Saccharomyces cerevisiae S288C: one gene and its partners. The gene in region 1 interacts genetically with each later gene. Each region holds a gene or a part of one and is shown on either strand. Other genes may lie near its edges.

Region 1 (8,189 bases):
ACAATGAAAAGAGAACAGTAAAACGTCATAAAGCCTGTTAGTTCTTGACATAAAGACGGTAAAAGAATCGCATGTTTTCCAATGGAATCGAGTAGTCGAGTTTTGGGTCCATTCTATACCAAATACTGTCGTTCTCGGATACTAGTGACCATGGACCTGTCGTTCCCTTGTCCTTTCTATTGCCTACTAAGATAGTATCGATAAGAAATTGGATTGGGAACTTCTTGTTGTTGATGGTAATGTGAGAATAGCTTCCTGCACTCTCTAGTATGAGAAGATGGCAGCCTGGGGCACAGTTCTCGTTTAACCGTTGCAGAAATTTTATACTCTCCACTTTTTTCTGTGTAAATAGTTCATTTGTAGTAAAAAGTAGAGTTATTAGGTCGAGGCCTTGATATATCTTGATATCTTGTGGCTCTGTCATTTGTAGGCAGTCCTTGTGGGTAAAGTTGACGTTAAATGACTCTGCTTCTGAATCACCATATAGCCATTTCGACTTTATTGTAGCTGTTAGCTTTTCAACAACTGTGGACCAGTCGGCGATATCTACTAGTTGTATGTTTAAATTTCTAGGCTTTTTGTTTACTTCGTTGTCTATTTTCAAAGCAGAGGCAAATTTAGACGAAAAATCTCTCGATAAAGTGAATATGCTCGCTAATGCAACCAGCTCACCACCAGCGCCGCCACCTATGCAGAGCACATTTGAGTCCTTGTCATCAATTTCGCATCTGATAATCTTTAGAAGCTCAGGGAAATGTGCAAATACTGATGCGTAACTTGTTGCTCTGGACGGTGACCAACGACAACAATATGCTATTCTTTTCGAGTCGTTATTGAAAGCAGCATTGTAATCTCTGTTATAAAGGTCAGATTTTACCGCCTGTATTTGTTCAGTTAACGGTGACTTTTCATTGTCTTGATCTTTTGGATATAGCTCTTCTAAGAATGTTATTTTAAAAAGATCGATTATTTCCTGTGGTGGAAGCGTTGATTTATTGTGAACGGGCAATTGGGCCACTTTTTTAGGATTCATGTTAATTGGAAACTGAGAAGAGTAATGATATTGTGAATAAATTGGTATATATTTAAAATATACTGAAGAAGTTAAAAAGGCAAAGCGTCTCATAAGCAACATCAAAAACGTGCAAAAAGAGACCCTGCGATGAGATGTACTCTAATTCAGAAAGAGAAAAAAAAAAAAAAAAAAAAAAAAAATAAAAATGCACTAAGGGCCCAATGGATTTCTTTTTTTGATATTGAATCATTCATTAAACATATTTATTAGGTTTAGAAGATTTTAATTATACAAAACTTATGCTCTATTTAAAATAATATTAATGAATTTATTCTTCGTCTTCTTCTTCGTCTTCTTCTGGAGTGACTTGGTAGAAGGCCAATCTGTATTCGTTGGTCTTGGTAGAGACAAATCTGATCCAGTCTCTCAATTGGTTCTTCTTCAAGTACTTCTTTGTCAAGTACTTCAAGTACTTACCAGAGAACTTGGCAGTGGAAACAACAGTAACAACGGTACCATCTTCAGTGACAGTGACAGCGTTACCCAAGTTACCGACAGCACCTTCGACCTTGATGTGGTCGATCAAGTACTTAGCGTAGGAAGCTGGGTCGAAGACACCGTTTTCAGTTGGAGAAGAGACATCGACGGTAAAGGTCTTGGCAATCTTTTGCTTTCTGGAAGTCTATATCAAAAAAATTAAAGATTGAAAATTAGTAAAAATTTTCAGAACAGTAATGTTAGTAAAAAACGAATATTTCACGATTTTCTTTCAATCCCGAAACCACAAAGTTGCCTACTGCTATTAACAATCACATATGACAATCTCAAACAAAAAAACATTCAGAAACGGATAAAAAGAAGGGAGTCGATATAGAGTTCAATGTTCAAGTAGTGAATTTTTAAAATACAGAAAAGCAACTAAACACATAGACGCTTCTTCGTTTCGTACATTTTTATTTTTTTTTTTTTGGTTTTACTATCTTCCTTGTTATTCGCGTACAATCAATCATTACAATAACAGTAAAACATAGACTTCGTAATCGGGCGTGGATTCCTTTTAAAGTATCATACGTTTGGGGCCATTGTTTCTTAATCTGTTGTTTTGGTGGTTTATAATTTGATAACGGTAAAGTACAGGTAAAGTTGTTAATCTCAATTAATAATGTACATATTGTATGCAGCTAAATGATAGTTTGAAACATTTTAGGAAATTCTCGGTAAGATTTGTTCGCGTGGCCTGTTGAGGATTTTTTCAAAAGAGAAGCGCACTGAGGTGGAAAGGAAAAACAAATTAACATAAATGTATGGATGTATTATTAAATGTACTGATGTTTATCAAAAAAACTGTCTTTGAAAGTTAAGTACAAGCTAAACATTTACTCAGTAGCGGTAGTAATATTATATAAAACATGGTAAACTTTAGTTGTGTTTCTATATATAGATATATATATGTGTCTATCTATCTATATAAGTTTTATAAATCAGTAAAAATTTTTGTTAGAACATTACATTATAGGAAGACTTCGGCATTAACCTCTACAAAGGATGCAGCGAATGGAACGTCGAAATTCATCATGACTTCAGGATGCAAGACACCCAAGTGGCCGATTTGCTTTGGCTCAGCGCCTTCTTTGGATCTGAACATGACCTTGGCACCTCTACCTGGGAAGTAGGTTTTCACAGAATCGTCTTCTTCAATCCAGTAACCTCTGCCAGAAGCAGCAGCACCGTAGTCTGCAATCCACTCTGTTCTAAAAGTTTGCATGATTTTACCCAATAACCCTTGAATGATTTCAAACCCAGAATTCTTACCCACGTAGATGGCAGCCCAGTGACGTTCATTGTACGCCTTCCTTTCTAGTTTGTCGTCTTTAAATACAACGTCACCGGTTTCAAAGACTTTGATTGGCAAGGAATGTTTTCTGTTTTCCTTGACTGTCTTTAAGATACCAGGCAATAAAGTGGTTCTAACAACTTGGTATTCCAAAGTCTTTGGGTTGGCCAATTTGACAGCTAAATCACCATTGTCGGATTGTCTTAGAAATTTAAAGTTTTCATCGTGCGAACATAAGGTCAATGGTAAAACCTCAACCCACGTGGCTTGAGAGGATGCAACTCTGAAAATATCAGAAACCTTGTTGATTGGTAATGGTTTGGCAATGAAGTTGGCATTGGATAATTTCTCACCCTTTGGCAAATTATTGAAACCATAACCGACAGCGGCATCTTCCATTATATCACAAGCGTGCAAAATATCAGGTCTAGTTACCGGAATGTCAACGTGCAAGATGTCCTTGTCTTCCTTTGATTGAACGGCATGCAACGACATCTTCTTTAGACAATGAGCAATTTCATCAGCGGATTGATCTAGGCCAAGACAGGAGTTGATGTACTTAATGGAGACATCCATAATTCTATCGTTGAAGTTTGGCGCCAAACGGGATTGGCCATTGTGTTCAGAGACAATTTCTACAGGCTCAACCGTGAATGGTTCGTCACAATAACGTGAGAACATTGTAGTTAATATGTTCAAAACGATCTCGGCTTTGGTCTTATCGGTGGCGGTTATATCAATCAAAATGTTACGGGTGTTCACAGAGATCTTCGAATGTTCACTATTGATTAATGGTGGCAGGGAGCAAACACGATCTTTGCTGTCCATAATAACTGGGAAGACTGGAGAATCCTCAATAATGTGAACGTATCTCCCTATGTTGTTTTTCTGTTCTGGAGATTTATAAAACTCGATCAATTTGTCACCAGTAAACTCTTGGGTTTGATTCAATGGTACGAACTTGATGTCCTTTGGTGGTAGAGCTCTGTAATGGAATGGACCTTCAATTGAATCTAAATCGTGAGTACCCATGGCAACCAAGCTTCTGTTTCTACATAGATTGGCATGTAATTTATCTTGCAAGGCAATAAAAGAAGCGTAAGATTTTTCGTTAAGCTTGATATTTCTCAATACAGCAGCGGTAGCAAAAGGTCTAATTTGCTCCGTTGATTTGTCGATGATCAACTTAGTGGTTGGCTTGCTTAATTTATAGTCAGGTCTTTCTTTACGTTCCAAGTATTCGTTCAGCGACTGTGAAATACCTTCGATACAAAGCAAATCGTAACGATTGGCACTGATATCAAGCTTCAATTCCGGCTCCTCCCCGGTTTTCAAGGCCTCCTCTGTGGTGTCTTCGTCCATTTCCATACCGAATTCAAAACATAATTCATCGAACTCTTGGGAAGTGTAGTTTTTGCCTAGAAGATCAAATAATTGCTGCTTGTTCACGGAGACGGTAGGCATGCTGGCTCGGTGTTATTGATGTGTGTTATGCTATTCTGCCCTATTTTTTGAACATTTGATCAACTCCAGGCTTTCGAGAAATACATTGAAAATTTTTCATTTCCTTCAATTTTCTTTCTTTTTTGGTACCGATTCTGAATAATCGGTCACCTCGTGTGTCGTGATAAATAATCAAGAAGATGTACTTTTATACAAGGGTTGTAGTCATCTGGGACACTCTCAGAGCACTGGCTCTGACGACAACCATCAAACGCATGCTCATACGTATAATTCAAGCCTTACATACACTGGTATTCCCTTTGGGGTGTTTCTTTTTCCTGTCAAGTTGGGCACTTAAAAGAACTAATAAAAAATCAGTGTGAACTTTTCGATTTGCAAAGAAAATGAAAAAAAAGAAAAGGAGCTTTCACAAATAAACAGAAGAGATCAAGATGAAGTGGTTGTTGTTTCCGGCAAGAATCGTAGCTCGCACTCGCCCAAACCTCTTCTCGCTGTACAGAAGATCCGTTTCACAGTACTTACGTCCTCGAACCATCCAAAACCTGCAATCAATGGCGCAAACACCCGAACTTAAAACCAAGCTGTTCAAACCCTTGGTCTGGATCGACTGCGAGATGACCGGTTTAGACCACGTGAATGACAGAATTATCGAGATTTGCTGCATCATCACCGATGGACACCTGGCACCCGTCAAAGCGGCCGATGGCCAAGGAGACTCGCATTATGAGAGCGTCATCCATTATGGTCCCGAGGTGATGAACAAAATGAACGAGTGGTGTATTGAGCACCACGGTAATAGCGGTCTCACCGCCAAAGTTTTGGCAAGTGAGAAGACTTTGGCCCAGGTAGAAGATGAGCTGCTCGAGTACATCCAGCGCTACATCCCAGACAAGAACGTTGGCGTCTTGGCAGGCAATAGTGTACATATGGACCGCTTGTTCATGGTCCGCGAGTTTCCCAAGGTCATTGATCATCTCTTTTACAGAATAGTTGACGTCAGTAGCATCATGGAAGTTGCCCGCAGACACAATCCCGCTTTACAAGCACGTAATCCAAAAAAAGAAGCTGCCCACACTGCTTATAGTGATATCAAAGAGAGCATAGCTCAATTGCAATGGTACATGGACAACTACTTGAAGCCACCACAGGAAACAGAGTCGGTCGAGTCAATCGGATCTGAACAGCCGGAGTCACCATCTTCATCTACCTCATCTTTGAAAAGACAACGCACCGATTTTTAATGTAGAAAAAAAAAAAGAAAAAAGAAGTGAAATTTTTCAAATATTTCACACACGAAACATGACTCCTGGTGAGAAATGACCCTTTCAGGTTGCTTTGACCATAAAGGTTTGACTCTATCTCTTGGGTTTCTCATGTTCGCTTTTTACTCTGTATAATTTTTAAATTCATAATCATCTTAGACCGAACCATGAGTCTTCTTCATCTTGTTTTATATATAATGCAGAACTTGCTTCCCTTAGTTTGCGTTCAGTAATCTTTCCTTCTTCTAGTGTAACCTTTACGAAAGATACTACCCCATAGCAAAGCATAACAGCTTAAACCGAATCCTCCTTAACATGCCTTACACTCTATCCGACGCTCATCATAAGTTGATCACCTCTCATTTGGTGGACACCGACCCTGAAGTGGACTCCATTATCAAGGATGAAATTGAAAGACAAAAGCACTCCATCGATTTGATTGCTTCTGAAAATTTCACCTCAACCTCCGTTTTCGATGCCCTTGGAACTCCATTGTCCAACAAATACTCTGAAGGTTATCCAGGTGCTCGTTACTACGGTGGTAATGAACACATTGACAGAATGGAAATTCTATGTCAACAAAGAGCTTTGAAAGCTTTCCATGTTACTCCAGACAAATGGGGTGTTAACGTCCAAACTTTATCTGGTTCTCCTGCTAACTTGCAGGTTTATCAAGCTATTATGAAGCCTCATGAAAGATTGATGGGTCTATACCTACCAGATGGTGGTCATTTGTCTCACGGTTACGCTACTGAAAACAGAAAAATTTCTGCTGTTTCCACATACTTCGAATCTTTCCCATACAGAGTTAACCCAGAAACCGGTATTATCGACTACGATACTTTAGAAAAGAACGCCATCCTATATAGACCAAAGGTTCTTGTTGCTGGTACTTCAGCATACTGTCGTTTAATTGACTACAAGAGAATGAGAGAAATCGCCGACAAATGTGGTGCTTACTTGATGGTAGACATGGCCCACATTTCTGGTTTGATCGCCGCAGGTGTCATCCCATCTCCTTTCGAATACGCTGATATCGTTACCACCACCACTCACAAGTCTTTGAGAGGTCCACGTGGTGCTATGATTTTCTTCAGAAGAGGTGTGAGATCTATCAACCCTAAGACCGGTAAGGAAGTTCTATACGACTTGGAAAACCCAATTAACTTCTCTGTTTTCCCAGGTCACCAAGGTGGTCCACACAACCATACCATTGCTGCTTTGGCCACTGCTTTGAAGCAAGCTGCCACTCCAGAATTCAAGGAATACCAAACTCAAGTCTTGAAGAATGCTAAGGCTTTGGAAAGTGAATTTAAGAACTTGGGCTACAGATTAGTTTCCAACGGTACCGATTCTCACATGGTTCTAGTATCCTTGAGAGAAAAGGGTGTTGATGGTGCTCGTGTTGAATACATTTGTGAAAAGATTAACATTGCTTTGAACAAAAACTCTATTCCAGGTGACAAATCTGCTTTGGTTCCAGGTGGTGTCCGTATTGGGGCTCCAGCCATGACCACTAGAGGAATGGGTGAAGAAGATTTCCACAGAATTGTTCAATACATTAACAAGGCTGTAGAATTCGCTCAACAAGTTCAACAAAGCTTGCCAAAGGATGCTTGTAGATTAAAGGACTTCAAAGCCAAGGTCGACGAAGGCTCTGATGTTTTGAACACCTGGAAAAAGGAAATTTACGACTGGGCTGGCGAATACCCATTGGCTGTGTAAAGAAATCACCACAACGACACTTAATCCCAAAAAAATAAACATTACTGTATAAGTATTCATTTTCTCCTCTTCTCATTATGTATATATGTACCTATATGTATGTATGTATGTGCGTACGATTTTTCTAACGTTAACTTCATTTCTTTTTGATTATGTGCCCTCCTTGAGTTAAGATGTGTTTGTCCAGGGAAACCTTGTCACCATCGCTGAATAGTAGCAAATAGTATTTTAATGTTCTGGAGAACCAATAGCTAGGTAAATCATTGTTCACTTTTTCACCGTTTTCATAAAATTCCTTTATTTGCCACAATCCTTTGGCACCACTGTTTAGTTCCATTAATTCTTGCATTAAGATTCCAAAAGACTGCTTACCCATGCTTCTCCATTTTTGTTCTCCACTGATTCTGTACATATAAAATATAGATTCAATGATATTCGAATCCAACAATCTTCTGGATTCTACCTTGTTGACCCAAAATGGCCAGTCTGGATGGTTTTTCCACTGAGAACCCATGGTATCGTCCGTTGTAATATGCGGTTTGATATCCTTACCAAGCGTAAAAACTCTACGTATTTGCGTTACTTCGTCGCCGTCTATTTCAGCAATCGATTTCGAGCTTCCAACAGTATCACCTTTTATGTTTTGAGTCTCTGTTATCCCATCTTTGCTTAGTACATTTCTCTTAGCTTTCTGGTCATTCCCACCTTTCCCATAATTCGAAACTTTGATCCCGACATCTAGGTCATTTTCAAAAGTTTCATATTCGCCGTTGGCAATCATTCGTGATTTAGTTTCGCCGTTAAACTCGCAATTCCCATTAGTCTCATCAGTGCAAGGGTCCAACTCGAATTTTTGAGGGAGCAGCCCGTCGAACTCCTCCATTAGCAT
Region 2 (7,711 bases), on another chromosome or scaffold:
GAAAGACCTGATTAGGCTTATTTGATAATCCAACAAAAAAAGTGATTGGTTGGTTTGCTAGTATTCAAAAATAACTATTTTGGAGTACTTTGTTTGTTTGAAAGGCTGGGTAATAATTTTTTTGATGTGTGCTTTGAACAGTAAAAACTTTCTTCCTTTCTATAAGCTAGAAGCAAATCCAAATCTCATCGAATAAGCGCATTAGGTTAACGACATTATTGTTGTTTAAATTTTAAGCTTTTTAGCTTTTTATATTTTATTGAGATGGCAGCAAAAAGAGGATTAGCCAAACAAAAATCTAGGGTAACCAAGGCCTGTGATAGATGCCATAGGAAAAAGATTAAGTGCAACAGTAAGAAGCCATGTTTTGGGTGTATTGGGTCTCAATCAAAATGTACGTATAGAAATCAATTTCGTGAACCGATTGAGGCTTTTTTCAATTATACTGGTAGTCTCAGTAATGATTTGGATAATGCTAAGTGCAGCATAGCAAAATTGAAGGCACAGTTACCTCCAAGCGCACCGGCCTCTTTACAGAAAGGCCTAGCAAACATTTGCACTGAGCTTGAAAAAATACAACCTCAGCTTTACCTCAATCTGGACAGTAAGGAAATTAGCTCGTATGGTGGCCTGAAATCGATAGAAACAGAAATTATCGGGAAACAGTCAAAATCTTTGAATAGGTTCTCCAACGCTTTTGAAAGCAATACTGCACAAAATGTCAGTATGTACTTTGGGGTCTATTCACCGTTGCTATATTTTGCCTCTACGGGTATTAGCTGGATAACTAAAAAATTGATTTCATGTTCGAATGATAGGGAGACGAGAGAAACTATCTATTTATTTTTGAAGTTTCTTGACGCTAGCTCTGCTAGCCATGCTGGTCCTAAAGTAACTTCGATATCTCCTTTAGAGTATTATTCAAAGCTAAACGGACTTTCATGTGGGAACGACGTACTTATTCAACACATTATGTCAAATATATCGAATGAAATCAAAGGAAATACAAACATTAACCAAACAATCAAATTCAATAAACCAACAGACTGGTTTATGTACGGAGTACAATTGATGGAACAGCACCACAAGGCGTTGGATCGTAAAAGTTCCAAAAAATTACTTCCTTTGAAATATTTTCTTGAGCAAGATGAGTTGATTTTTTGTCTCTGTCTTGAATATTTTGAAAGATCCCTATTTTCGACAATGTACGACTTGACTATTTTAAAGGGCTTAGTCTCGTTGATGAAACACAGATATTGGATAGACGATCCTTTTGTGCTGGGAAGAATTATTTCCACGATGTCCAGGCGAAGTTTGGATGCTGGTTTGAATCGTTGGGAATATTATATTGGTCAGGATGAGGACACTGCCGAAGAATATCGTAAGTTATGGTGGGACTGCTACTGGTGGGATAGATGGTATTCATTGGTCACCGGTAAGCAGCCATTGATACCACATGAAATGACTTCGTGTCTCTTTCCCAAGGATGTGGTTGGATTAGGGGTAGATGATTCGATGGACTGTTTTACTTTAATAAACTTGGTGGAGCTCGACCCAAGTAAGTTTGATATTTGTATCTCTTTCGGCTATATTCTATTAACGAAAATTATTACAGCGGTATTCTCTGGTTTGCTTTATAATCGACACTTTACAGACTACAGATTATTTGCAACTCCTAACGCTAAAGACCTAAATGGAACCGCACGACAGCTTATGGTAGAGTTTTCAAAAATATGTAAAATTTTTCAGTGCATACAAGACAAACTAATCCCTTTCCTCAAACAATATTCTGAAAATAGTAATGTATTTGAACTATACACCCATTTCGGATTTGCAAAGGTTTGTTGTTTTCAGGGAATGGAGAGTTTAATTTTAAGGATACAAAATCTTCTACAAGAAAGAGAGAGAATTGAACTTGATTCCTGCGTAAAGGACATCAGGCTTCAAACCTTTGAAGCATCTGTAGATATTTTGACGGATGTTCTCAAGCACGAAGATACGTTCTATATTTTCCGTTGTTCGTGGTTCATATATGCCATCTTGATGAATATTACCTTGAATTTTATCGAGACCCCTAGAAGGAACTCGATATGTTATTTATCCTTGATGTGCCGCATGATAGCCTCATATAATGACTTATTTGTGAGCTCTGGCAATGTTAATTTCAAGGGCAACAACGCCTTCTCTAAAAAGTTGGAAAATGGAACAGCGGTTTCTTTCATCCTAACACGCATCTGCTGTCAGATGTACACACGTTCACAGAAAATGGCTAAGGAATCGCTGTTTTGTGAATTGAAAAAATATGGCCAGGCTTGCTCAGATGCTGGTCAAGCTGCGTTGGACATTGAATGTATCTGGTACAGGAATATTATAGGCGAACACAAAGAATCAAGCTTCCGTAAAGAAATTCTCAGCATTCTTGATAGGGAAATGGGTGATTTGGTGAATAATAGAGTTATTGGCGTACAGGGAAAAAATCAAGAAGGTGCTTGTTATGAGAAGTTGTCACCCAGCAGCACCAGTGTTTCAGTTGGCATGGACTTTTGTAGCCTCGAAAATTTTGTGACTGCAGAATCTCTACCAGACCTTCTCAATCTATTTTGGGAGGACACTGAATTTGGTATTACTAAAGAAAACCTCGGAGAGTAAAAACCAAGTATGCACCTAAACAATTGATCACTTTCAATTAGGAAATAAAATCCCTTGATTTAGACGAATACTGTAGAATGCAATAAAAGGTTTTGTGATTCTAATCTAGTCCCTTACGTTATGCACCGCTTTCAGGAAGGTTATGGGCTGTACCATGAAATCAAAGGTGGCTCATAACTAGTAAGTAAAAGTAAATGTCCTTTTTTTATGCAAGATCTAGAACGATTCGAGTATGGTGTTGATACCACTGTGGTAAGTCTTTCAAGCTACACGCAATTACACACACTCACAAATCTAGTTGTATTTACTCCTTTTATTGTTGCTAGTCTAATTATTCGTCCCACGATTTTATCGTTCTTTGAGTATTTCGGGTCTCAAAAGATTGCTAAATGAAATAACTCTTAAAAATTGCTTCACATAGTCTTGTTGTTACATTCACAATTCACAGCTTTCCGTTGCTCATCGCTTGATAGGAATATATTATGATAGGGATTATCCTGAAAGTTTCAGCAAAACGATAATTACTTCAGCTTTTCTTCGTCTATTTAACCTAGTTTTCCGTCATAAATCCGTTCTCTTAAAAGCACACCTACTCCACTTTCTGAAATAACATAGATATTGAATTTGACTTAGATTCATATATTAGAAAAATCGAATAGTTTCCTGTGCCTAGAAATTCTAAGGTGCCATTCCAGAGGATTTTTATGACAAAGATGAGATGTAAGAATCAACTTTTTTTAATATTTTATATCTTTCATCAAAGAAACATCACAATGTATATTACAAAGTGGAGAAGCATCCAAAATATAGCTGCAGTGAGAATTCATTGAACTGTATCAACTGGGTGGAAAATGTCACAGTCACTTATGGAATTCTATGATTTTATTCAATAGAAAACATTTAGTAAAGCTGGTAACCGACCTTTTTTTTTTACACATTTTTTTTTTTTTTGCTGATTATACCTTGCATTCTAACACCGGGTTCTGATGTTATCACCTACTTTGTATCTCGCATCATTCTTTATTTGGTAGACACGTCCCAAAATGGAGGATGCGCACTAACGAAAATGAAGGATAATGCAGTGAGAATGATAATTTTGATATTGATAGGATCAATTGAAAGCATATCACATGTTTTTTGTGAAATGTTGTATAAGAGATAGCGCTCTTGTTGGGTTTCGATAGGGGGAATGTGGAGTATCTGATGTAACACTGTAGTCTTATTTCTTGTCATAAAGAGGGACTGATTGGGGTGAGGCATATTATATTATAGGAAAAATTGCAGAATATCTAGGTAGTAGTCGCTTCAATAAATTTTTTTCCGACACAAGAATAATGAGACAAATCGGACTATATTTGACGATTAAATAAACCCAAAGCACCCCTATGCTATATGGGGGAACTTTAGAGTAAACAAGGTTGAAATACGTCAATTTGTAATTTCATAAAATACGTGAGGTCTTTTTGTGAGAGATACTTGCCCATTTAGATTTTTGTCCATATCGTGATAATTTTTTTGAGTTTTAATTAATGTGCTCCACCATCACAGAGTGTGTACCAGTGCAACCCACTCAGGGATATGCTTTAAGTCATATATTCTCGCTCTATGGGAACCATAAGCTGGACACATTTCTTGAGGTTATTTAGTAGCGAAAAATGGCGCAATGTTACTCTTTCACTTCTATTATATGGGGCTACAATGCCAATAAGGATTAATGGGTAGCGATTGTGGTTTCTTACCTTTGTGTAGTTGCGTAGGCTTTTTAGTGTATCAGTGAGCAAATTTAGTCCAAAAAGATCGCCAGCGAAGACTGTCGTATCTGGATCATTCGTAGTATCGATAGCTTAGCGATATTCTCGAGGATGTAAAGACAGCAGATTGGAGTTCTGATAATTTTTCATTACTTTTCAGTGAGAGAGTGCCTTTCTCGTTTTATATCTCAATCCTACCCGTAGAACTGGTCTGCTATTCTCATTTATCATTTTATTTCAAAAAAACCTTCAGGAGACAAACTGATTCCATCAAAGGCCTGTTTGCTATCTAGGACAATATTCGAGCTTAGTAAGTCACTTCCTGAAAACCATTCTGCTTGCGAGCCCGAAGCTTTGTGGCAATCAGTCTTCCACATCTGTTTGCAAGGGTGTTTTATTTCATGTCGTGAGAGATTTGTGATTAAAGCTGTTTTTATTAATCAGTTAGCAGCTTCATTCTCTTGAAGGATATATATAATTTTCTCAGATTTCTTCCGAATAATATTTAATCATTGAAATGGCAAAAATAAAAATTACTGTCAGCTACGCTATCTTTATATAGCTACAAAAAATTAATGGCCACTAAGCAATTACTGAGACGTCAAATCAAAAGGGTAATAAATGCTCTTGACTACGATATTATCGCTGCAGAGTCGCATACTATTTCTCAAGCAGTACGCTCATTGATCGCTTCCGCCAATTCTAGGCGTGTAGCGTGTTATATGAGCATGGATAAAGGAGAAGTAACGACTGGAGAAATCATTAAGAATTTATTTCAAGATGGCCAGGAGGTCTTTCTGCCAAGATGTACTCATACTTCTGAATCGAAACACTTCAAATTACGGGAAGATCATCATCCACATTTAATATTCCATCGAATGAGTAGTTTGAAAATGGTTCGTGATTTGAAGCCTCAAGGTCCATATCAACTAAAAGAGCCTGAACCGCATATTGAGGAATCAGATATTCTAGATGTCGTATTGGTGCCTGGAGTGGCGTTTGATATTAAAACTGGTGCAAGGATGGGTCACGGTGCTGGGTATTATGACGATTTTTTCCAACGGTATAAGATACTGCATGAAGGCCAAAAGCCCCTCCTAGTTGGACTATGTCTTATGGAACAGGTGGCCTCTCCAATTCCTTTAGAAAAACATGATTATTCCATGGATTGTATAGTATGCGGAGATGGATCCATACATTGGTTTCAATAATTTCATATATGTATTATTTACATGGTACAGCTATTGTATAAATAAATAAATAAATAAATAAGTAGACGGCAAATCTATTTTTCTTCTTTTGGATTCCCTTGTTCGCTAGAAAACGTGGCATTAGCTTTGACCAATGTCCTGTTGCCACTTTGGTCCATAAGTTCAGCCTTTAATTTAGTTTTGTTACCGTATTGCTGAAGATCGGTGGTTCTTACTACAACAAATTGATTAGCTAACGTGGGGAACTTGTACGAGATACTCAAATTCTTGGTTTCTTGGTTTATATTTTTTGTTCCTTTTTCGAGTCTAATGGCCTCCTTCATTAAATCTTCAATAACTGTTGCTAAAATGCCTCCGTGAATTAAGAAAGGATAACCAGTAAGTTTCATTCCTAAATGGTATAGCCCGACAGTTTCACGCCTACTGGGGTTGTAGTAAACTCTTGGTGGTATAGCGACGCCACCTGGTGTATTTAATGCCCTTGACACTAACAAGTTCTCCTCTTCATTAGCAATCACTTGTACAAAACCAGCATTCTCCAACTGTTTTACTATGGGTAGGCCATTTAAACGTCTATTCAGATCAGCGTGATATTTGACGACTTCATCTGCGTTCTTGGGTAGGGCATCATATCTCCAATAAGCTAGTAAGTCCGTGAACGTCATATGCTGTGTCAAGTACCACCCTCCAAGAAAACTTCCCCCAAAAATTGTCCATGGAATCCATCTTCTTTTGGGTTTAGAGGCTGTCTTGAAAACAACGCCATTTGTATACGTTCTTATCTGGGCTATTGCGATTCTTTTAAACATCTTGGCCTTGCTGGTACGGTCTCTTTCTCTTCCTTACTTTTCTTAGTTTCTTTATAAACTCTTTGTGCACTTTGTGAGTTTGTTCCTTTTCTGCCAAGGGGTATGCCTCATCGAAAATTAATCAATCTTTAAATAAGGTATTATGTTAAATAAATGAAATGTAAAATGTGTCGCTAATGGAGTACTTAGAGACATTTTTGGAAATCAGTTTTGTGAAATATTAGAAAGAATTCCTTTTGTTTATTTGCTCAGAGTACAACATCTCAAGACTTTTATTCCTGTTGCAAACCAATGTTCACGTACGGTGACCCAAAATGATGGCAGTCATAATCAAATCTAATGGAAGTTGAAATCAAGAAACGATAATGTAATAGGATTGTAAATTACAACTTACAAAGCAAAAGAAGTAATAATAATATGCTATTTAGAATTGCCGATTCTCTTTTATTGATTCCTGTATCTTTTGAGGAGAACTTCTAGTATATGTCTAATGTCGTTTTACTAGAAATGGGACCCCTGAAAATCGTCAGCAACTTTCAACTGAATCTGAGAATGATGCTCAAGTCGTCATTTTATCTTGCAGAAGCTAAGTGCAGGAGTTGATAATACAGCAGAATTAAAAGTGACAACGCAAGAAACAAAAACAAATGCAATCTCAATATTATGTGAAATTGATGATTTCGTAGCGAATCATGCGCACTGTGGGAGAAGCCTGGGTATAATTATGTATGCTAATACTGTTACGTTTATCTGAGGTTTGTGTGAATTTTGTGATAATTATCGGGATTCCATTGTTGATAGAGGCTTCAATACTATGTATACAGAACATACTAGAACTTCTCCTCAAGGGTATAGGGATCCTCAAATTTAATCGGTATTTGCATACAATAATATTACGATTATTTTTCCTATCGTTTTATATGCTTCATTTTCCCATTACATTATCAATTCTTGCATTTCAGCTTCCATTAAACTTGCTAACTCTTTCTCAAGCTTCATTTCATCTTCCTAGATCTCATATGATACTATACCAGCAGCAAGAATGCTACTAAATGGATGATATTCTAGAGTTTCATTTCATCATCTACACGAAGGGATGGGGGCATCTGAAGTATTTGAAACGTTGCTATGATTTCATAATTTATGCAGGTTTAACACAGATTACAGGTCTCTTGGCCCAGTTGGTTAAGGCACCGTGCTAATAACGCGGGGATCAGCGGTTCGATCCCGCTAGAGACCAATTTTTTTGAAAATCGTAAAAAGGCCCAAAAGGGAGAGCACAGCACGTTCT
Region 3 (9,675 bases), on another chromosome or scaffold:
TGGTGTAGTTACCAGAAAAAAGTGAACACATACAAGATACGATGCGTAAGTACATAAGGTATGACAGCCTGTAACAAATCCACGTTAGATTTATATCTTCTAGGCTGAGAATCTGGCAGGTTTTAGCAAAACATATATAACTTGCTCTCATTAAGCGGGCTCACTGCTTAAGCGATTGTTACCTGGAACTACAGGCAAGTACAATAGCCTCCTCCAGCTTTTGACTCTGAAAAAAAGGTAACGAAAGAAACTTTTCACACAGATAGGAACTATTCTAATATTACAGTAAAGCCAGCTATGGAATAACAGGTGGCATGTGCCCACTGTATTCATGTATGAGCGGCCTTTTTTTTCCACGAAAACAGATATGATGATGTTTTAGGCCAAAATGGTGAGATCCTTTTACAGGAAGATTTTACGCCAACTCTTTCCATTTAGTGACACAGGTGAGGGTCTTTTATCGGCGCAAGGTGTTTCAGATGAGCCATTTTGCCCGTAGTCCGGTTTAATCAGCCTCATTGGAATTCCCCGGCACCGCTCGCATTCCGCGTACGACTCAAAGAATTTCCCATTGAATTCGGGAATGTGCGTGTTTCAGATTGCGTTTGCTTATTATTCTGGGAAACTCTCCGGAAACAAGCTGAGCTGGACTCCACGAATGGTCCCTCACAAGGCTCTTGGCTCATGCACAGTTAAAAAGCACCTGTAGCTACCATCAGCAATCCATGGTGCTGGAGTTTCTCTCGATGGTACGGCCCATAGCTGGAGAAAATAGCTTATTACCAAAAAAGTAATTCCCCCGCAGAGGTATATATTAAGTTTGAAACAAAAGGCTTGCTTAATTTTTTACATATGACAACCCTTTTCTTACTTTTATAAATGTTTATGAAACAGGAGATTCTTCGACTGGTGCCAGATTCCTCCCATATCGACAAGAAGAATAATCCACCTATTTCAACAATTCTGATACCTGTTTAACCATGAGTCTTAAAGAAGACGACTTTGGCAAGGATAATTCTAGAAATATAGAATCATATACTGGTAGAATTTTTGACGTATATATACAAAAAGATTCGTATTCACAGTCGGCCTTGGATGATATGTTTCCAGAAGCCGTAGTTTCAACCGCCGCTTGTGTGAAAAATGAAGCGGAGGATAACATCAATCTCATAGACACGCATCCTCAATTCGAACTGGTAAATACTGGACTGGGTGCTAAATCGGACGATTTGAAATCTCCATCAGCAAAGGCTACGTTCACTGACAAGCAGAGGAAGAATGAAGTACCAAATATATCTGTGAGCAACTACTTTCCCGGACAAAGTAGCGAAACGTCGTCAACAACGGAATCTTGGACTATCGGTTGTGATAAGTGGTCAGAAAAGGTAGAAGAGGCATTCCTTGAGGCACTTAGACTGATAATGAAAAATGGGACCACAAAAATAAAAATAAGAAATGCCAATTTTGGAAGAAACGAGCTGATTTCATTATATATCAAGCACAAAACCAACGAGTTCAGAACCAAAAAGCAAATTTCTTCCCATATTCAAGTCTGGAAGAAGACCATACAAAACAAAATCAAGGACTCGCTGACCCTATCATCAAAGGAGAAGGAGCTTCTACACCTTATCGAACATGGCGCTGAACAAACTACTGAAAACTCAAACCTGTTTTATGACATATTTGAAGAAATTATCGACTCTCTACCTTCAGTCAGTGATTCTGGAAGTTTAACCCCTAAAAACCTCTATGTAAGTAATAATAGCAGTGGATTGTCAGTACATTCAAAACTGCTTACGCCAATCACTGCTTCCAACGAGAAAAAAATTGAAAATTTCATAAAAACTAATGCTGCATCTCAAGCCAAAACCCCCCTCATTTACGCTAAGCACATTTATGAAAACATAGACGGCTACAAGTGCGTTCCGTCAAAGAGGCCTCTTGAACAACTTTCCCCCACGGAACTCCACCAGGGAGATCGCCCCAATAAGGCTAGCTTTTCCAACAAGAAGGCAATCCTGGAGAGTGCAAAAAAAATCGAAATAGAGCAGAGAAAGATAATCAACAAATACCAAAGAATTTCCCGCATACAAGAACATGAAAGTAATCCTGAGTTCAGTTCCAATTCCAATTCCGGTTCAGAGTACGAATCGGAGGAAGAAGTAGTCCCAAGATCAGCCACAGTCACACAACTCCAAAGCAGACCAGTGCCATACTACAAGAATAATGGAATGCCCTACTCACTCTCCAAAGTACGAGGAAGGCCCATGTATCCAAGACCTGCTGAAGATGCTTACAATGCCAATTATATTCAAGGTCTGCCCCAGTACCAAACATCTTATTTTTCGCAGCTGTTATTATCATCACCCCAGCATTACGAACATTCTCCACATCAAAGGAACTTTACGCCATCCAACCAATCGCATGGGAACTTTTATTAAATGTCTACATACATACATACATCTCGTACATAAATACGCATACGTATCTTCGTAGTAAGAACCGTCACAGATATGATTGAGCACGGTACAATTATGTATTAGTCAAACATTACCAGTTCTCGAACAAAACCAAAGCTACTCCTGCAACACTCTTCTATCGCACATGTATGGTTCTTATTGTTTCCCGAGTTCTTTTTTACTGACGCGCCAGAACGAGTAAGAAAGTTCTCTAGCGCCATGCTGAAATTTTTTTCACTTCAACGGACAGCGATTTTTTTTCTTTTTCCTCCGAAATAATGTTGCAGCGGTTCTCGATGCCTCAAGAATTGCAGAAGTAAACCAGCCAATACACATCAAAAAACAACTTTCATTACTGTGATTCTCTCAGTCTGTTCATTTGTCAGATATTTAAGGCTAAAAGGAAATGTTGTCGAGACTATCTTTATTGAGTAACTCGAGGGCGTTCCAACAGGCCAGATGGCGCATTTACCGCTTAAAAGTTTCGCCAACTGTGCATGCTTCTCAATACCATATTCTTTCTGGTAGGAAACTTGCTCAATCTATTCGAGAAAAAGCCAATGATGAGATACAAGCCATTAAGCTTAAGCATCCTAATTTCAAGCCTACCTTGAAAATCATTCAAGTCGGGGCCAGACCAGACTCATCTACGTACGTGAGGATGAAATTGAAAGCTTCAAAGGACAGCAATGTAGACTGTATCATAGAGAAGTTACCAGCAGAAATCACTGAAGTTGAGCTTTTGAAGAAAATTAGTGACATCAATGATGATGACTCTATCCATGGGTTGCTAATTCAACTACCTCTACCGCGTCACTTGGATGAAACCACGATTACAAACGCTGTGGACTTTAAAAAGGACGTTGATGGGTTCCACAGATATAATGCTGGTGAATTGGCTAAAAAAGGAGGGAAACCATACTTCATACCATGTACTCCTTATGGTTGCATGAAATTACTTGAAGAAGCTCATGTTAAGTTAGATGGTAAGAACGCCGTCGTGTTAGGCAGATCAAGTATCGTCGGAAATCCAATTGCTTCGTTGTTGAAAAATGCGAATGCCACTGTTACTGTCTGTCATAGTCATACAAGGAACATTGCAGAAGTGGTCTCCCAAGCTGATATAGTTATCGCAGCTTGCGGTATTCCTCAATACGTTAAATCAGACTGGATTAAAGAAGGCGCCGTGGTTATTGATGTAGGTATCAACTACGTACCTGATATCAGTAAGAAAAGTGGGCAAAAATTAGTTGGTGATGTTGATTTTGATTCTGTAAAGGAAAAGACATCTTATATTACCCCTGTTCCTGGTGGAGTGGGTCCAATGACTGTCGCTATGCTTGTTTCCAATGTACTATTAGCTGCTAAAAGGCAATTCGTGGAATCTGAAAAGCTTCCAGTTATCAAACCTCTTCCATTACACTTAGAAAGTCCAGTGCCTTCAGATATTGATATATCAAGAGCTCAGAGTCCTAAGCATATCAAGCAAGTTGCCGAGGAGTTGGGAATCCACTCTCACGAATTAGAATTATACGGCCACTATAAGGCAAAAATTTCTCCAAATATTTTTAAAAGATTAGAATCTAGAGAAAACGGTAAGTACGTCCTTGTTGCAGGTATTACTCCGACTCCATTGGGTGAAGGTAAATCCACTACGACTATGGGGTTGGTGCAGGCTTTATCCGCTCATTTAGGGAAACCATCCATCGCGAACGTTAGACAACCATCTCTTGGCCCAACCCTGGGTGTCAAAGGTGGTGCTGCTGGTGGTGGTTATGCCCAAGTTATTCCTATGGACGAGTTCAATTTACATTTGACCGGGGATATTCATGCTATCAGCGCTGCGAACAATCTTCTTGCAGCAGCTATCGACACTAGAATGTTCCATGAAGCCACTCAGAAGAATGATAGTACATTTTACAAGAGACTAGTTCCAAGAAAAAAAGGCATCAGAAAGTTTACCCCATCCATGCAGAGAAGGCTTAAAAGATTGGATATTGAAAAAGAAGACCCTGATGCTTTAACACCTGAAGAAGTCAAAAGATTTGCTAGATTGAACATAAATCCCGATACTATCACTATCAGAAGAGTTGTCGACATCAATGACAGGATGTTAAGACAAATTACCATTGGCGAAGCCGCTACGGAGAAGGGTTTTACAAGGACCACTGGATTCGATATCACTGTTGCCTCTGAATTAATGGCCATTTTAGCTCTATCTAAAAGCTTACACGAGATGAAGGAACGTATTGGACGCATGGTTATTGGTGCTGATTATGATAACAAACCAGTAACAGTAGAAGATATTGGCTGTACCGGTGCTCTGACTGCATTATTACGTGACGCTATAAAGCCTAACTTAATGCAAACTTTGGAAGGGACCCCCGTAATGGTTCACGCTGGTCCTTTCGCCAACATCTCCATCGGCGCATCATCAGTAATTGCAGACTTAATGGCATTGAAGCTTGTTGGTTCAGAAAAGAACCCGTTAAATGACAAGAACATCCATGAACCTGGTTATGTAGTTACTGAAGCAGGATTCGATTTTGCCATGGGTGGTGAAAGATTCTTTGATATCAAATGTCGTTCCTCTGGATTGGTGCCAGATGCAGTTGTCTTAGTCGCAACCGTAAGAGCTTTGAAATCTCATGGAGGTGCTCCAAATGTTAAGCCCGGACAATCATTACCAAAAGAATACACAGAGGAAAACATCGATTTTGTTGCCAAGGGTGTTAGTAATTTGGTTAAGCAGATTGAAAACATCAAAACGTTTGGAATACCAGTCGTTGTAGCAATCAACAGATTTGAAACAGACTCACAGGCAGAGATTGAGGTAATCAAGAAAGCAGCCTTGAATGCTGGCGCATCTCATGCCGTTACTTCTAATCACTGGATGGAAGGTGGTAAAGGTGCAGTAGAATTAGCACATGCTGTGGTAGATGCAACGAAAGAACCAAAGAACTTTAACTTTTTGTACGACGTCAATAGCTCCATCGAGGACAAGCTTACCAGCATCGTCCAAAAAATGTATGGTGGGGCAAAAATCGAAGTATCACCAGAAGCCCAAAAAAAGATAGACACCTACAAAAAACAAGGCTTCGGTAATCTTCCCATCTGTATTGCTAAGACACAATATTCATTATCCCATGATCCATCATTAAAGGGTGTTCCTAGAGGTTTTACGTTCCCCATCAGGGATGTGAGAGCTTCAATAGGTGCAGGTTATTTATACGCTTTGGCTGCAGAAATTCAAACCATACCGGGTCTATCGACATATGCTGGTTACATGGCAGTAGAAGTCGACGACGACGGTGAAATTGAAGGTCTATTTTAAATAGTTTGGCAGACTCCTAATGGCATCAATTCGACCTCGATGTCCGTCTGCACGAGTACCCTTTATATAAACAATTGAGATGAGAATATTAGAAAAATGGGTTTTAGTTATGTAGGTATATGTGCATACATACGTATTATCGAAGTTTTTGCTACCTGTTTATTAACTGAGTATGTATATTAAGATAAATTAATTAAAGAAAATTTAAGCGTCTTCCTTCAATAAAGCATCTCTCTTTTCAGCAACTCTTTGAGCTCTTCTGTCACGAGCAGCTCTGTTCTTCAATCTTCTAGCTTCAGCTTCTTCGTTCAAAGCCTTTTCACGTTGAGCATCAGCCTTAGCTTGGATGATGTGTTCAACCAAGGCTCTCTTGTGTTTGAAAGCGTTACCCTTAGATTCCTTGTACAAAACATGGTACAAGTGCTTGTCAATCTTACCAGCATCACGGTACTTAGCCAATAATCTTCTCAAGACACGTAATCTTCTGATCCAGACAACTTGGGATGGTAAACGGGCTTCTCTGGTACCCTTTCTCTTACCGTAACCACTGTGACGACCTTCTCTCTTAGATTGAGCATGGGCTCTGGTTCTGGATTTAGAGTGGACGGTAACGGCCTTCTTTACGATGGTACCGTTCTTAACCAATTTTCTAATGGCGTTTCTGGAGTTGGCTTGAGCAATTTCAGAGGTTTCATTTGGATCTAACCAAACCTTTCTCTTACCGACACCGACGACAGAAGCGGCAAGTCTCTTTTGAGTACGTAAATTAGCCCTGTTAAAGTCATGTTAGTTATTATCGTTCTGTAAGAAGGAAAAAGTCTATTCGCGTCGAAAGATAGAAATTGCGGTGGTAGACACTTTAAAACTCGCTATAGAAAAATGACATGGTTATTATGTATGCTGGATACTGCAGCAGCTCGAGTAACTTTTATCACGTAACTGGTTCTCGTATTGAATACTCATATTAATGGTCTCACTTATCGCTATAAATATCTTAATGGTAAACTGCACAGAAAAAAAATTCTTCCACAAGTTTCCTCTTTTGCCTTTTAGTGCTAAAACTCCGATTATAGAAACATCTGGCTTCACTAGCATATTCATGATGCAAATGGAACACAGTATCGTTCTTGGCATATATTACCCATATCACTTTTCAATAACGCTGGTGTTTCAGGTGATAACTCATCAAACTCGCATTCCTCAAGAGGGAGTTATTATAACAATTCTATCTTATTCCTGATAAACTTTCATAGATTCATTATTCACTGCATCACATACATTTTTGCTTTGGAGTTCTTAATCAACTTTCTATGTGAAGCGTAAAATCAATAGTTACCTTGTATTCTCTGTTGATCACTGTCCAAACCTATATTTTTGTTTCCCCCTCAGAGAAGTTAGGTCGATGCCTATCGTAGTTTGCAAGGAAGACGGCTTCCAACTGAGACCGCCCTAGTCTGGCAGGATTCGTGAAAGGAGTCCATGCCAGCTGCTACCCAGGGATTGCCACGGCCCCGGCCAGCGTATAGTACACTGTCAGGAGCAATTCGAAGAGGCAACCAAAATTATGCTAAGCATCGCACTCTCTCTCAGTCTGGTGCTAAGCGGAAGACATGCTTCCAATGGCCTCCTCACCGAGAACGGATATTAAACGAAACGAAGAAAAAAAATCTTCACGGAAAATGCGTAATGTCTGGATGACAAAATGCATGGGTGTAAAAAAGGAAATGAGACGAACTTGTAATAAACCTTAGTGGGTTGACGAATTTTGAAATAAAGTTTTTCCTTTTTTTTTTTTTTTTTCTTTTTCATTGTTTGGTTGCCTTCAAATTACATATAAGATTTCTCGAGAAGGGTTTTCCATTGTCCTTTTCATTAGGCGTTGAAGTGAATCTAAAGTGCGCTTGAATGATTTCAGATAGAAAGACTAAAGAAGTGGTGTGAGTATAATTAACTCAATTGAAGACGGTTTACCTGAAGTGATATACTGTGCCTTGAGAAACAATGAGTAGCGACGCTAAGCAACAAGAAACAAACTTTGCCATTAATTTCTTAATGGGTGGTGTGAGTGCGGCCATCGCTAAAACTGCTGCCTCACCAATCGAAAGAGTCAAGATCTTGATCCAAAATCAAGATGAAATGATCAAGCAAGGAACTTTAGATAAAAAGTATTCCGGTATCGTGGATTGTTTCAAGAGAACTGCAAAGCAAGAGGGACTAATATCCTTTTGGCGAGGAAATACTGCCAATGTTATTCGTTATTTTCCCACTCAAGCTTTGAACTTCGCCTTCAAAGATAAGATTAAGTTGATGTTTGGTTTCAAGAAAGAGGAAGGCTATGGTAAATGGTTTGCAGGTAATCTGGCTTCTGGTGGTGCAGCTGGTGCTCTTTCGTTATTATTTGTTTATTCTTTAGATTTTGCCAGAACCAGACTTGCTGCTGATGCAAAATCGTCGAAAAAGGGTGGCGCTCGCCAATTCAATGGGTTGACTGATGTTTATAAAAAGACCTTGAAATCGGATGGTATCGCAGGATTATACAGAGGATTCATGCCATCAGTAGTGGGTATCGTGGTTTATAGAGGACTATATTTCGGTATGTTTGATTCTCTCAAGCCACTGGTGCTAACTGGTTCATTAGATGGTTCATTCTTGGCTTCATTTTTATTGGGATGGGTGGTCACTACAGGTGCCTCAACATGTTCTTATCCATTAGACACAGTGAGAAGAAGAATGATGATGACTTCAGGTCAAGCAGTAAAGTACAACGGTGCTATAGATTGTCTCAAAAAAATCGTAGCTTCTGAAGGTGTAGGGTCATTGTTCAAAGGCTGCGGGGCAAATATCTTGAGAAGTGTTGCTGGAGCTGGTGTTATTTCCATGTATGACCAGTTGCAAATGATATTGTTCGGTAAAAAATTCAAATGATCAGTTGGATGAAGAAAAAAGTCATTTTCTCGACTTCTCTTCACCTTTCGATCGATTTGATTTTGGCCGCCAACTTGTTTATAGAAAAAAAATAGTAGGAAGGTTATGTATCGCTTTCTTTTATTTTTTATTATAGAGTATAACTGAATAAATTTGTAAATCAGCCACTGTTGTTCGATTGCTTTTTGGGGAAGTGAACTTGAGACCTTTAACTTTCGGCTTTCAGATGGTTGGATAGCAATTTTCACACAATTTGGACATTGTCTCCAAGTTTTCCACAATGATGAAGGTTCTTTGTTAAGTGCATTCCCCCCCTTTTAAGTACCTTGGCTATCAATTTTATACCCATTTTTCGTATTTACCATTTAATTAACGATCCAATTATTAGCGTTAATTACGGAAGCGCCAATGAATTTTTAGAAATCAGAACCATAGTTTTGAGCTCAACGGAACTATCCAGGATAATTTCTCAAAGCTTTATCAAGATGAGCATAATTTTCCTTTCGGGGTGTAGACCTTATAAGAGCTTCCGCGTTTTTGTTCTACATTCCATTGAGAAATTTGTTGCCAAAGTTTGCCAATGATCAATGGTAAACATAACGGTTCTAAGACTCAACCTTCACTATTTGGAGAGTGATGCTTCAAGATAAGCATCCTGATCCATTTTATAATATTTGTTAGGGTTTTCGAGAACTTAGATAAGAATCAATTATTGTCAGTATTATTACATTTTGGTTTTTAATTTTAACATTTTATTTTTATTTTTTTGACAATTCTCAAATAAATTTCATAGCAAAAAGGGAGAAAGATTTCAGAAGAATACAAACTTAGGACCTTCTTATGACTATTTCCAACATTCTCATCGTCCTCTCAACGGGATAAAAGTTCAGTTCCTGTTAAAAAAGAATAATTCTTACTGAGAATGAAGTATTCAAAGAAATTTAATATTTTTGAAAT
Region 4 (7,586 bases), on another chromosome or scaffold:
TAAAGTTACACACGAGTCTAACTACGTTTTTCGTGATGGAAATTTCAAACGTCAACAAAAGCAGTAGTGAAAGGTTAACTACTTGTAAAGTTATATTACAAATTTTGAACTACATCCGCTGGAAAAACGGAAGTTTGGATTTATTTGATTCAGAGGAGGATGAAAGTCCTCATGCTATTTGTCCACACATTCCAGCTTTTATTGAAACTGCTATTGCGCATGCCATAATATCACCAGAGTCTAGAAACTATGAACTTTCGTGGATCAAAGCTTCTGAAAAACTTTCGGACCCTACTAAAGGAACCCAAAATCTAAGATCGATTAGTAACGTTTTAGAGAAGATAGATGACATACATATAAAGAGATTCATTGAGATTGATGATGTATTCAGCAAAAACTGCAAGAATTTATGCCCCTGCCCTGGTTGGTTCATTTCAAGGTTACTAGAAATATCTCAGTTTGTCCCTAACATGAGTATCACTAATTCGAAACTTATTAATTTTGACAAAAGGAGATTTGTTAACAACATAATATCTAATGTCTTGGATTTAATTCCGAACGAAAGGGAGTTTCCACTTGATATTGAAATGAGTGACGAAAATCCTTCGAAAAGAACTACATTTGGCCGCATTCTGTTCAATAATTTTGAAGATGTTAATAAAGTATACAGAAAGAAGACTAAAAAAGTATCAGAATCAGAAGCCATATCGGAGAGATTTCAAGAGCAGGGAGTATTTAATGAAATACTAGTCAATGAAATTGAAAAAATAAAGAGGGAAGCCAGAAAATTAGAGGTTTTACTCGATCAAGAAAAGATCTTGAAGAACTCTGCTGCTTTACATCAGGCCGTTCCGAAAAAGAATAGGAAGTCTGTTATTATCTCAGGTACTCATAGTGACAACGATCATAGCTATAATATCAATAAGAACACCGGTCAAACGCCTTCTCTAGGTAGTGTTATGGAAAGCAATAATTCAGCAAGGAATAGAAGAGATTCAAGGGCCTCCTTTTCCACAAATAGATCATCAGTAGTGTCAAATTCCAGCCATAATGGTGTTAGTAAAAAAATAGGTGGATTTTTCAGAAGACCATTTTCAATCGGTGGATTCAACACATCCAGTTCTAATTATTCACTCAACAGTATATTATCGCAAGAAGTTTCAAGTAACAAATCCATTCTACCAAGTATACTTCCAGAGGTTGATTCCATGCAACTACACGACTTAAAACCTAGTTATAGTTTGAAGACCTTTGAAATCAAGTCAATAATGGAAATAATCAATCACAGAAACATTCCGGCTTACTACTATGCGTTCAAGATAGTTATGCAAAATGGCCATGAATATCTGATTCAAACGGCTAGTTCTAGTGACCTCACAGAATGGATAAAAATGATCAAGGCTTCCAAGAGATTTTCATTCCATTCGAAAAAATATAAAGGTAAAACTCATAATAAGATATTTGGGGTACCATTAGAAGACGTTTGTGAAAGAGAGAATACCTTGATACCTACAATTGTTGTGAAATTGCTGGAAGAGATTGAGCTGCGTGGGCTAGATGAAGTGGGATTGTACAGAATTCCTGGTTCCATCGGCAGTATAAATGCACTAAAGAACGCATTTGACGAAGAAGGTGCAACAGATAATTCCTTTACATTAGAGGACGATAGATGGTTTGAAGTGAATGCGATCGCAGGCTGTTTTAAGATGTATTTAAGAGAGTTACCAGATTCTTTATTTTCTCATGCTATGGTGAACGACTTTACCGATTTGGCGATTAAGTATAAAGCACATGCAATGGTAAATGAAGAATACAAGAGAATGATGAATGAGTTACTCCAAAAGTTACCTACATGCTATTACCAAACTTTGAAAAGAATTGTATTTCATTTGAATAAAGTACATCAGCATGTTGTAAATAATAAAATGGACGCATCAAACTTGGCTATTGTATTTTCCATGAGTTTTATAAACCAAGAAGACTTAGCCAACAGCATGGGGTCCAGATTAGGTGCAGTTCAGACAATCCTGCAAGATTTTATTAAGAATCCAAATGATTATTTCAAGCAATAAACAATTTTCGTGGTAAATGTATACAATCCACTGCTGAGAGAGAAAAAATTTGGTCCCGCCTATCGAGGGTTTGAGTTTTATATTTTTATATTTACAGAGAGATATAGAGCCTTTATTCATTTTTTGTTATTAATGAAGTTTGATTTGTGAACAATTTTGATTTTGGAATTCTGCCTCTTCTCCTTGAAGCTTTCTTGTAACTTCTTCTCATTATCTTGCATCAATTGCCTTCTTTCCGCCTGATCTCTTGCCTTTTGAATGTTATGTTTTAATGATTGGAAGATGCCCATGTTCTCTGTGGGGGAAGCGCCAGCGATAGGAGTCCTTGGTTTAGCTACTTCTGTTATCTTCAGTTTCGAACGAACCCATTTGTTTCTCAAAATCATTGTCTGTAGGACGGAGAAGGCACCATTAAAGGCAAAGTAGAGGACCACAGCGGACGATAAGTTCATTGTGGCCGGTATAGAAATGATCGGTAGAATAGTGAAAAGACGCTTCATGGGAGAACTGAATTGTTGAGCACCAGTCTCACCCCCCAGCCTTGTAAATGAGATGAACACAGCGGCAGTGATTACTTGCAAACCTAAGTAAGGGTCTGCTTGAGTCAAGTCTGTAAACCAAGCGACACCTTGATTAGCGAACCCATCTACTGGGTAGTTAGCCATGTGTCTCAATGCGTTGAAAAACCCAAGGGCGATTGGAATTTGTAGCATGGGTGCGGCCAGCCATCTGTTCTTAATGCCGTGCGAGGAGAGCAGTTTTTTCCTTTGCATGGCGACTAGCTGACCTTGTTGCAAATCTGTAGTGGACATTAGCTTATTATTCAAGGCGTCCAGCTCGGGCTTGATATGGGAATTTCTAGCAACAGTATCAGAGGACTTGACATAGAGGGGAAACATCAGGCATCGAATGAGGATGGTGGTGGCCGCGATAGTTCCCCACCAAGGCAACCCAGAGTAAACATGAACGGCCTCCAAGACGTGTTGGATAATGTCCGAGGGCCAGTACCAGGTTTGGGCCAGGCCAATGCTATTTAAGTACCCTATATGGGAGGACAACTCGCCCACTGTTTGGGTCGTGTTAGCGATAAGGTCCGAAGTAGAAGCGGAAAGAGAAGGAGCTGAAGAGGTTAATTCATCGATGGAAGGCAACTGGGTTTGGATTTCCGAGACATCGTTGGCATTTGGGCCCGTCGAATTAAATCTTTTGGCCTGAAAAGAGATCCATGACGGATGGGGCCGGGGCAATACTATGGTTCGAGCGGTGGCCAGTCTGGAAGAGGCAGCAAACCTTGACGTGACGAGTCGAGAGGTGAGTTTGAACATCGTCGGGGAGGTTATTCTGTGGCTCCGCTTGTACGTGAACAGATACGTATAGAGGGCGAGCCACTGGTTAAATTTTTCATGGCTCGGATTACTTCCGTACTGCTGGCTAAAATCGAAATCTCGGCCTGCTGAGAGTGTTTTGAGCAATCAAGGGAACATCTGAACGTGGAAGAGCAGACGAGGCATTAGCTCGAACATAAGAACGGAACACGTCATGTTGACTATCACGAAAAGACTGGTGACCACCGATGTGCGGTCGCGAATACTGTTAAGCAGTTTAAACGGGAAAATGTCCGATGCACTGGCGCTGCTGCGTCAGCAGCAGCAGACCAGCGTGGATGTGGAGCTGCTGCACACGATGCTAGCGCGAGCCGCTGCGCTTGCCCATGCCGACACTATAGCATACATGTGGTATCAGCATGTGATGCCACGCCGGTTGCCAGTAGAGGGCCGCCTGCTATGTGAAATGGCTGGCGTAGCATTGTACCAGGACAGGCTCTTCTTACCCGCGCAGTTCCTCCAGCACTACCAGGCGATGAATCGCGATCGTCGCACCAGCCCAGAAGATGAACTGATTGAGTATGAGCTTAGACGGATTAAAGTCGAAGCGTTTGCGCGTGGCACAATGCACTCCACGGCGCTCAGGGAAAAGTGGAAGGTATTCTTGCAGGAGATGGATACGCTACCAGGGCAGCCGCCATTAAGGCTGCGCGACTTCCCGCAAATGACCAAGGCTATGGGCATAGCATTGATGCAGCAAGATGAGCAAGCAGCTGCCCTGGCGTTGTTTGGACGACAGCCCCTAGTGATAAAGAACGAATGGTCACTACCGCTACTACTGGCTGGTGTCCTTTGGCATGTTCCCGGCCCAGCGCAGGCGCGACGTGTGCTGGCGGAGTTCCGTCAAAGTTATCGCGGGCTGCCGCTGCTGGATGCCGAACTAGTGATAAAGAGAAGAGGATTTGAAATCAACACATAAATCTGGGTGGAGCATCGCTGTAACAAGGAACAACGCGTGCTAGCAAGCGGTAATGAAATACAAGGAAATCAATTTCTTCAAGGGCCATCCGAGCTCGAGGTTGCTGCCTCGAGAAGCAGTAATTCAAGCGACTGCGGCTATATTGGGGCCCGAGACCAGGGAGTACGATAACGACCCCTATAACAGGCATCCGCTGACGTACGGTTCGGACGAAGGTGCCCTGTGGGTGCGAGAGCAGATTTGTACGTTTCTGAATGATCAGCTGTTTAAGTTCGAAAATGGGGCTCGGAGCAGGACACGGGCAGACTATTTGAATCTGAATAGCGGCGCTTCGTATGGCATGCTGAACATCCTTCTGCAAACAACCTTGCCACATAACGGGTATACCAGGCAGGCGTTCATCATCACGCCAACATATTTCTTGATCAACAATTGCTTCACAGATGCGGGATTCAAGGGGAAAATGACCGCCATCAACGAGCAGGGCCACGACTCGATTGATTTCGAGTCGTTGATTTCTGCCCTTGAGCAGCACGAGGCGGAGCCGCAGCCCCATAGTACCACAGAGATGATTCAGGGGCCAAAGTTGACCAAGAAGGTCTACAGGTACGTTATGTACTGCATCCCGACGTTTGCAAACCCATCGGGAAACACATACTCGCTTGAGACCAGACGCAGACTTATCGACATCGCTCGGAAGTACGACATGCTGATAATCACTGATGACGTGTACGATATTCTAGATTACACGACGCCCTCAGATGAGCTGCCCTCTCCGCCCCTAAGGATGGTGCACATAGACAGAAGTACAGCGCCCTCCGGTGAGGACTCGTTCGGGAATACAGTGTCCAACGCAACTTTCTCCAAGCTGATCGCCCCTGGGCTCAGATTTGGATACCATGAGTCAATCAACGCGAATCTCGCCAGACAGCTATCTAAAGGTGGTGCAAACGTCTCTGGCGGAACTCCCTCACAACTGAACTCCATGATCGTGGGTGAGATGCTGCGTAGTGGTGCCGCCCAGAGATGCATTGCACATCTGAGATCCGTATACTCCGAGAGGGCCACTGTCTTGACCTCGGCGCTTAAGAAATACATGCCCCTAGGAACCGAGATTATGCCATTGAAGGGCGGCTATTTTACTTGGATCACTCTCCCACCAGCGTACAATGCCATGGAGATATCCACTATTCTTGCCAAGAAATTTAATGTCATCCTTGCCGACGGCTCCAATTTCGAGGTCATCGGCGATGAGAAAAACTGGGGTCAGTCATGCTTTAGGCTTTCTATTAGTTTCTTAGAAGTTGATGATATCGACAGGGGCATTGAGCTGTTTGGTGCTGTTTGCAAATCTCATGCGATCACCAATAACATAACTATGTAGAAGGAATACGTATATAGGTGAACGGTAATAAGAGGGTAATTTTTCTACGGGCAAAGGCAAGGAAGAAAAAGAAAAAGAAGGAAAAAAATATAATGTGATAAAACAAACAAGCAGCGAAAAAGCGAAAGGGAAGAGAAGTGTTTCTAGAGAAGAAAGTCATTTTAATAGTAAGTCAGACTCGTCTGCTACCATCATCCAGGTACCGCTTTCCTTTCCATCATCATTAAAAAAAATGAACATGCAAGACGCTAACAAAGAAGAGTCGTACTCGATGTACCCGAAAACCTCTTCTCCACCACCACCTACGCCAACCAATATGCAGATTCCTATTTATCAAGCGCCTTTGCAGATGTACGGCTACACTCAGGCCCCATATCTATACCCCACACAAATACCTGCCTATTCGTTTAATATGGTCAACCAAAACCAGCCAATCTACCATCAAAGTGGCAGCCCACATCACTTGCCTCCGCAAAACAATATTAACGGCGGAAGCACTACCAATAACAACAACATTAACAAGAAGAAGTGGCACTCTAATGGCATTACCAATAACAATGGAAGCAGCGGTAATCAAGGCGCCAACTCTAGCGGTAGCGGCATGAGCTACAACAAATCCCACACCTACCATCACAATTACTCTAACAATCATATCCCCATGATGGCCTCTCCAAACAGTGGCAGCAATGCGGGCATGAAAAAACAGACCAACTCTTCCAACGGCAACGGTTCTTCGGCTACTTCACCATCGTACTCTTCCTACAACTCTTCTTCACAGTATGATTTATACAAGTTTGATGTCACTAAATTAAAGAATCTCAAGGAAAATTCATCAAACTTGATTCAATTGCCACTGTTCATAAACACTACGGAAGCAGAATTTGCTGCGGCAAGTGTCCAAAGGTACGAATTAAACATGAAGGCTTTGAACCTAAACTCTGAAAGCTTAGAGAACTCATCTGTAGAAAAGAGCTCTGCCCATCATCACACAAAAAGCCATAGTATACCAAAGCATAATGAGGAAGTAAAGACAGAAACACATGGGGAAGAAGAAGATGCTCATGATAAAAAACCACATGCGAGCAAAGATGCGCACGAGCTTAAAAAGAAAACTGAAGTAAAGAAAGAGGATGCTAAGCAAGACCGTAACGAAAAAGTTATACAGGAACCTCAAGCTACTGTTTTACCTGTAGTGGATAAGAAGGAACCAGAGGAATCTGTTGAAGAAAATACTTCCAAGACATCTTCACCTTCACCATCTCCTCCAGCAGCAAAATCCTGGTCCGCCATAGCATCAGATGCGATTAAAAGTAGACAAGCTAGTAACAAAACAGTCTCCGGATCGATGGTCACTAAAACACCAATTTCTGGTACGACCGCAGGCGTTTCATCAACAAACATGGCTGCGGCGACTATAGGTAAATCCAGCTCTCCCCTGTTGTCCAAGCAGCCTCAGAAAAAGGATAAAAAATACGTTCCACCTTCTACAAAGGGTATTGAGCCACTGGGTTCGATTGCGTTAAGAATGTGTTTTGATCCCGATTTCATTAGTTACGTTTTACGGAATAAAGATGTTGAAAACAAAATACCAGTCCATTCCATTATTCCAAGAGGCATAATTAACAGAGCCAACATTTGTTTTATGAGTTCTGTGTTACAAGTGTTACTCTACTGTAAGCCATTTATTGATGTAATTAACGTTCTCAGTACACGGAATACCAATTCAAGAGTCGGCACATCATCCTGTAAATTATTAGATGCTTGTTTGACTATGTATAAGCAATTCGATAAGGAAACCTATGAGAAAAAATTCCTAGAGAATGCTG

Evidence for each region.
Region 2: of SHM2 (region 1) and FAU1, a mutation in one rescues a mutant of the other (synthetic rescue), as found in Saccharomyces cerevisiae (one study listed by BioGRID).
Region 3: mutations in SHM2 (region 1) and MIS1 impair growth when combined (synthetic growth defect), as found in Saccharomyces cerevisiae (one study listed by BioGRID).
Region 4: mutations in SHM2 (region 1) and PET122 together harm fitness more than expected from each alone (negative genetic interaction), as found in Saccharomyces cerevisiae (2 studies listed by BioGRID).

Annotation. Positions count from the first base shown.
Region 1 is NC_001144.5:257,103-265,291, reverse strand, and holds SHM2 (glycine hydroxymethyltransferase SHM2), read left to right. Parts: upstream 1-5,890; coding exon 5,891-7,300; downstream 7,301-8,189. Other genes in the region: BMT6 (25S rRNA (uracil2843-N3)-methyltransferase), read right to left, coding at 38-1,135; 60S ribosomal protein eL22 RPL22A, read right to left, coding at 1,344-1,697, 2,087-2,098; FRS1 (phenylalanine--tRNA ligase subunit beta), read right to left, coding at 2,526-4,313; REX2 (Rex2p), read left to right, coding at 4,745-5,554; putative mannosidase MNL2, read right to left, coding at 7,437-8,189. UniProt on the Saccharomyces cerevisiae protein: Interconversion of serine and glycine.
Region 2 is NC_001137.3:551,234-558,944, reverse strand, and holds FAU1 (5-formyltetrahydrofolate cyclo-ligase), read left to right. Parts: upstream 1-4,975; coding exon 4,976-5,611; downstream 5,612-7,711. Other genes in the region: TOG1 (Tog1p), read left to right, coding at 265-2,649; FMP10 (Fmp10p), read right to left, coding at 5,686-6,420; YER181C (uncharacterized protein), read left to right, coding at 7,149-7,472. UniProt on the Saccharomyces cerevisiae protein: Only enzyme known to utilize 5-formyltetrahydrofolate (folinic acid) as substrate. Contributes to tetrahydrofolate metabolism in an alternative way of folate biosynthesis.
Region 3 is NC_001134.8:408,189-417,863, forward strand, and holds MIS1 (trifunctional formate-tetrahydrofolate ligase/methenyltetrahydrofolate cyclohydrolase/methylenetetrahydrofolate dehydrogenase MIS1), read left to right. Parts: upstream 1-2,865; coding exon 2,866-5,793; downstream 5,794-9,675. Other genes in the region: TEC1 (Tec1p), read left to right, coding at 981-2,441; 60S ribosomal protein eL19 RPL19A, read right to left, coding at 5,998-6,565, 7,072-7,073; ADP/ATP carrier protein AAC3, read left to right, coding at 7,795-8,718. UniProt on the Saccharomyces cerevisiae protein: Mitochondrial isozyme of C-1-tetrahydrofolate synthase.
Region 4 is NC_001137.3:470,831-478,416, reverse strand, and holds PET122 (Pet122p), read left to right. Parts: upstream 1-3,611; coding exon 3,612-4,376; downstream 4,377-7,586. Other genes in the region: GTPase-activating protein BEM2, read left to right, coding at 1-2,072; membrane insertase OXA1, read right to left, coding at 2,189-3,397; YER152C (2-aminoadipate transaminase), read left to right, coding at 4,429-5,760; mRNA-binding ubiquitin-specific protease UBP3, read left to right, coding at 5,993-7,586. UniProt on the Saccharomyces cerevisiae protein: Required for expression of the mitochondrial gene for cytochrome c oxidase subunit 3 (COX3). PET122 seems to work by directly interacting with the small ribosomal subunit to promote translation initiation on the COX3 mRNA.